Linked DNA regions of Solanum lycopersicum. Each later gene encodes a partner of the first gene's protein in a complex. Links are inferred from orthologs where the notes say so. Each region holds a gene or a part of one and is shown in the gene's direction. Other genes may lie near its edges.

The links. Proteins that work in one complex are often made in the same cells at the same time.
Region 2: mediator of RNA polymerase II transcription subunit 17 (region 1) and mediator of RNA polymerase II transcription subunit 32 share a complex: the UniProt entries of both Arabidopsis thaliana proteins name them as parts of the mediator complex. The link is inferred for Solanum lycopersicum from reciprocal best matches to the Arabidopsis thaliana genes AT5G20170 and MED32.

Annotation. Positions count from the first base shown.
Region 1 is NC_090811.1:1,517,948-1,520,652, forward strand, and holds the end of mediator of RNA polymerase II transcription subunit 17, read left to right. Parts: intron 1-90; coding exon 91-552; intron 553-635; coding exon 636-947; intron 948-1,685; coding exon 1,686-2,009; 3' UTR 2,010-2,187; downstream 2,188-2,705. UniProt on the Arabidopsis thaliana protein: Component of the Mediator complex, a coactivator involved in the regulated transcription of nearly all RNA polymerase II-dependent genes.
Region 2 is NC_090807.1:64,223,120-64,226,850, reverse strand, and holds mediator of RNA polymerase II transcription subunit 32, read left to right. Parts: upstream 1-1,127; 5' UTR 1,128-1,273; intron 1,274-1,275; exon of another isoform or gene 1,276-1,404; intron 1,405-1,658; 5' UTR 1,659-1,701; coding exon 1,702-2,142; intron 2,143-2,688; exon of another isoform or gene 2,689-2,704; 3' UTR 2,705-3,071; downstream 3,072-3,731. UniProt on the Arabidopsis thaliana protein: Component of the Mediator complex, a coactivator involved in the regulated transcription of nearly all RNA polymerase II-dependent genes.

The DNA of each region.
Region 1 (2,705 bases):
CCTTTCTCTTTTTAGTACCCTTTGAGTTTTTCTTATTCATTTTTGTGACCTACTTCTGTTTTCTGATTATTTTCTTGGTCCTTGTTGCAGGTGTTTGATTTGGTTAACCGTGAAGCATTTAATCCAGCTTTGGGTGCTGACGTGACAGGAATACAAGAAAACTTGTTACGTTTAAGTATAGGTCAAAGAGCTTCTCTGTCCATTTCACTTGTACCATCTGCTGACGATGGTCAGACAGCTAATGCTGTGGGTGATGAACATCCAGAAACTGCTATTGTGCCTTTTGAATCAGTTGATGCTTCAAAACAAGATGAAGGGAAACTTGACTTGAAAAAGTTGGGGTTTCCCAATCGAATTAGTTTTGAAATTTATTTGCAACAACTTTTTCATGAACATGTGTTTATAAAAGCCAAAAATAGATTATCATCTTTGGGCAAACCTGAAATATCTTCTCAACCTGTGAAAGATGGTCCCAACCTTTTGGGACATTTCTGCGTCTCTCTAGCTCATAGGATCTTCTCAAACAAAGTCCTCGCAGAGCTCGAAAGTCTGGTATGAACTTTTCTGTCTGGGTTTGTAAACTGCTAGCTAATGTAGCCATTATGTATCTGAAGAATTCCTTGTTTTGTCTGTAGGTTAGCAGGGTACCATATGTCCAATTAATATCGCATCCCACTTGGCATTCTCGAACATCATCATGGACGCTTTCCATGGATGTACCCGAGTCAATTCTCCATGCAGGAAGCCTGTCTCACTCATCTGACTATGTAAAGAATGTGAAATTTCACTTTCGTACAAAAGTCATGGTGCGTGATGATTGCATCAGTCTGGAAGGGGAAGGTGCTCCTAATATTGTTGGCCTCTTCAAAGGAAAGCCTGATAGTATTTGCCCTATGAACAGATATGATTGTGACTTGTCAGATCTTCCGATGGTTCTATTGCAGCAGGTCTGTGTCCTCATCCTCTTTACTATTGTGTTTTGATATGAAAATGGGTGACCATACTATGAAGAATCGTTCATTTTCTGGCCGGATAAACTTCTATTCATCCTAGAGCTGGTACTTCCTTAAAAAAGAAAGCCTATGATCCTAGACTTTTTTTATTTTTCCTGTGATTCAGTTGAACCATCCAAACTCTTTGAGTCTTTTTCTGTTGTATTGCGTGGGGTGATTTATGTGATACGAGTAGCATAGAAGGTTTTCAAACTGTTTGTGTTGCTGCCTAGGATAATTTGCTATCTTGTGGTCGGGGACCAAACTTCTGGTGGATAGCTGTGGTCATGATGGTGAGGGAGAATGTTGTTTTGTTACCATAGAAACAAATGTGAAGCCCCAGCCTCAGTCCTCACCCACCTCCAAATCACTGCTTTAGTTAGGCGCCTGTCACGAGTTTGAATCTTGTCGCAGAGTATAGAGGGGCAAACCTATTATCCTTTAGATTTCAAACCTTTTGCCAGTTGGCACTGGGGGATTGGGGAGACAAGGGAACATAATGTTCCGCACCATCATAGGGAATCTCAAAGCCCCAAGCTCCATTTTCTCAGTTATCACAGAAAGGGAAAAGCAAAAGCATCACATTTGTACCCTTCCTTTCGATAAACAAATCAATATACAATCTACGTTGGAAATCAATGTCACTTCCAATCTTGCAGCAACCTTATGTCAAGCTATTAATTTCTTCTTCAGGTTGCCAGCCAGGTGATACGATGGCTTCATGAAGAAGCCCTTATGGTTGGTATCAAAGCAAACCGGGATTTCTTATCCTTGTCATTTGAGCTAGAGCAAGGAGAAACACTCAGTCTCGTGGCACACGTAGACCCTGAAGATATTCAAGGATGTATTTCCTGGTGGTTGGTGATGGGCGATGGATTCTCTGAAGAAAACAAACTTCAAATGGACGTTAACAGTGGTGAATCCGAAACTAGGAAATTCTTAGGTTATTTATCTTTAGAAGTGTTATACTCAACCTTAATGGATATGGTTAGCGTTAGTAGTACTGCAGGCCATTGATTTGTCTCTACGTATCTGTATTTTTTTTTCTTCGTTTCTTCGAAGAATATTTATCTTGTACAAATTATGTAGCTGAGAATATCATACATCCAATAGCTCATAAGCTAAATCATTGTGGATTCAATTTTTTTTTAAAAAAGTAAATTGTTTGTTGGATTTATTCCATCATTTGGAGAAACTATAGGTTCTTGTGTATACACTTCTCCTCTAAGCAATGTCTATGTACATCTTAACATCTCCGAATTTAACTTGTACGATTTTTTAAAATTATACTGGGTATGTTATTGTTGTTGTTGTCCTACATTTCTTGGAAACCTACTTCATTGATACATTTGCAACTAAAAACAATATTTGTTGAGAAGAAATATTTTCAAAGTTTCTATTTTCAAGTAAAGTTTTTGTAGTTTAAATCATCAAAACATATAGAAAGAAACCTCTTATTTGTGGCTATGAAGAGTCGAGTGTGCATTTTAAATTATTAATTAGGTCACTTTAGTCTTGTCTTAATCCAAATTCATCATTCATTAAGACTTACCAATAAGAGATAAACCAAACAATTTGATCACAATAAATAACATAAACAATTTTTGACAAGACTAATAAACCACTAATAAGAGAAGCTTCATCAAACATGAACCCCACTAAAAAGGAAATATTTAACTTATACCCATTTGTAGTTATTATCATTATATTTAT
Region 2 (3,731 bases), on another chromosome or scaffold:
ATCGATGGCCCCTAAACTTGGCACCAATTTTCACTTAGATACCTCAATCAGGCGATGTTCATTTTAAACACCCCATGTAAGGTTCAACTGTGTCATTTTGATACTTTTCTGACAATAAATAAAAAACTAAAGGAGAGTGTAAATGTGTAATACACTCGTTGATGACGTGGCAAACAATCAATTAAATAATTACATGTATTATTTTCAGTTAAAAATAATTATAAAATCTATTTAGTAAAAAAATTTAAAATATTATTCTACGAAAATTTCTTATTTCATTACACTCAAATCTCTTTTGTGCTTTACAAAAAAATATTATTTTCTTTTACTATTTTTCATATTTATTCTTCTTTTTAGTATTGTTTTTCTTTAAAAAAAGAAAGGAGGGAGAGAATAAACATGAAATATGGGTGTTGGTATCCATTTTTCCGGCAAAAAATAGAGTGAGGTGAAGATAGACTTAGATAAGTAATACAATGATGAAGAAGAAAATGACTTAACAACGAATTTGAATAAAAAATTTGACCTCCATTGAAGGAATTTAAATTCGAAAAAAAAGGGGGTGGTGGCTTGGAGAAGAAGAAGATAAAATAAAATTAAAAATGGCTAAATTAAGTCTTTCACGCGCTATTGTTAAGTGTATCACACTCACTTTGACATGTCAGCAAAAAGTGCCAAAATGACACAACAGAACCCTACACGAGGTGTCTAAAATGAACATCGCCTAATTTAGGTGTTCTAAGTGAAAATCGATAGCAAGTTTAGGAGGTCACCGATGAATTTGACAAGTTTGAGCAATTAAACAAAATATTTAATTTAAACATTAATGTAAAATTAATTTTATTCATCACATATAATATAATTACTCATCAATAATATATAACACTAACAAATGAAAAAAAATATATGTCTCATTTTAATGTACATAGAACACTTAATATATAATACTAATGATGAAAATACAAATAAAATAAAAATTAAGATACATAAATAATACTACTCCTTTAGTCCAATAAAATAGCACTCGTATATATATAAATAATTATTAGAAACTCAAACAATTATTACTCAATTATGATTTTATTCAAATATATTTTAAAAATCTTACACTCTAAAATATTAATTTTGAAACTAAAGGGAAGCTTTGTGTTACAAATGAAAACTATTGGGGAGGAATATGTAATTATTTCGAAACAGAGTGAGGGGAGAAGAGAAAAAAACCAAAAAAAGACAGAGGAGAAGATTGTGGAAGCCATTTTCTTCCTTCAGTCAAGTAAGTAGAAAAACCCTAGTCTTTGTGGTTTTTCTTCTTTTCATTTGCTTAAATTTATTTGAGTATTTTCAAGAAATTTGTGTATTGCATCAATTTTGTTTCAGTTGATTTCTTGCTTTTGAGTGTTTTGGGTAATCATAGAAAATTGTTTCTTGGGTTTGTTTTTGTATGCAGAATTTGATAGCATAATAGCTCTTTAATTGTTGTACAAAGATTCAATTTTTAATGATGAAATTACTACAAAGATTCAATTTTTAGTGATGGTCTTGCTAAAGATTCAATTTTAATGATGTTGTTGCTATAAAGATTCAATTTTTAATGATGGTCTTGATACAAAGATTAAATTTTTAATGATGTTCTTGCTAATTTATTCTCTCCTTTATAGATTTACGGAGGTTAGTGATCAATTAGGGCTTCGAGGGGTTGTGATGGATAATCTCGTAGATGCACTGAGCAGTGCATATCAAGACTTTGTTGCAGCATCAGCTGTTGTACTTGAATCAAAGGAGAGTTCTAATGGTCAGAAAACAGCAGCAACTGATGCTGCATTAGAAAACTTTAAGCAAAAGTGGGAGTTGTTCAGGGTTGCGTGTGATCAGGCGGAGGAGTTTGTGGAATCGGTTAAGCAAAGAATTGGCTCCGAGTGTCTTGTGGATGAGGCTACAGGCACTGTTTCAGGGAAGCCTGGGCAACCAGCTGCAAGTGGCCTTCAACCCATTAGTGCTGTTAGGTTGGAGCAGATGAGTAAAGCTGTAAGATGGCTAGTGATAGAACTGCAACATGGTTCTGGAGCGAATAGTGCTTCAGCAGTACATCCCAATCCTTCTGCTCCATTTGATGCCAGATTTTCTGAAGATGCAGCTCAATAGGTATACTGAAATCTCGCTGATACTTCCTGTCCTTGTCGTTTCCGTTGACTATGTTAAATAATCTGGAAACAAATTTGTATTATTTAATGAACTATTAGTGATAGGCTTTGTATCCTAGACTTGATGATGAAGCAAATAAGTGAACATTCCCTTGGAACTGAAACTGATTCATATATAAGAGCTGCTATTACAAAACCGCTGGTCTTGTATAAATTTCCAGGTTGATAGAAAAGTAGTAGAAGCTAACAAAACTGCTTTTTAGTGGCATCATATGTTCTCTTCCATCAGAACGAATAACTGTGAGTAACCACTAGTTTCTGCAGCAATTATGTTATATGTACTATCCTTACTTTATTTATGAAGAATACTATCCTTACTTATTAAGCTAAGTTTGACCCAACTTCTTTTTTTATGATCAATTATGTACTATCCTTACTTATTAAGCTGAGTTTGACCCAACACTTCTGACAGACAAATGGAAACTAGAAAAAAAAAATTGGTTTCGTTTTATTCTGTTTTCATCGCTGTAAAACAAAGAACTATTAGTTGTGACTGTTTTCAGGTAACTACAGAGTCTGGTGATCAGCAGAGAGAAACAGAAGATCTTATGTGCCTTAGTAAGCCGCTAAAGTTGATGTTTGATGTATGAAGTCATGTTGTAACGATGTAGAAGAAATACTTTGGAATGATATTTGTAAACCACCTTTACCGCCTCCCTCCCTCGCCATCTTATGAGAAGATCTGGCAAATTTACATTTGTGTTTTCTAGGCACAGAGATTTACTTTTATCGCAGTATGAGCTACTGCACTGTTAGCTTTATTTAGATCTTAAGCATACCAACATATACAAACAGGCTGTATGTTTGTGTCTGCTATGTGTACCTTATATTCTCGAGTATTTATGTTTATAATCGATTTTTGTTAGGAAATATATCTCCAATCTTGTAAAGTGGCTTTTTAGTTAATTGTGTTAACCCTGATGAACTCATTCAGTAGGCTTTGGAGACCTCTGGAATTGTTGCAACAGAGTATTATGACGCTTTGAGTGTAGCAGTATTAGTAAATACGCTTTAGCTTACAACTACATCTTGATTGCTACACAAATGCTCAGTATCCATGTCGCTCCATTTAACCTTATCTCAGTCTAATATTTAGTTGTACTGTATAATAACTTTGAAAACAGAAGTTCTCACTTGTCACTGCACTTGGAAACGTCTTTGTCCAATAACGCAAACTAATACTAGTAAATGAGAGATCTATGATGTAAAAGTTCTGATGGTTATTGAGAATCGTCTGAAGGGATGACAAGCAGAGGCTACTCTATAAAGCTATATATATCAGAAAAAACAACGCTCTTTTCATTAATTTTATGCAGACCCAAGAAGAAATGGGTTTTGAGGCAACATACAATGCTTAAGAGCATCTTTTGAGATAAATTCCATGCAAATATACACAATTTGTTGCTTTCATCTGGATATACAGGGTGGTGAAGAGAGCATGTGCGATAACAATGGCACAACTAGGCGAGTAGTTACCATGAACAGCACAAGCACTTTATGTTCAAAAGTCATAACTGATCCTATGAGCAA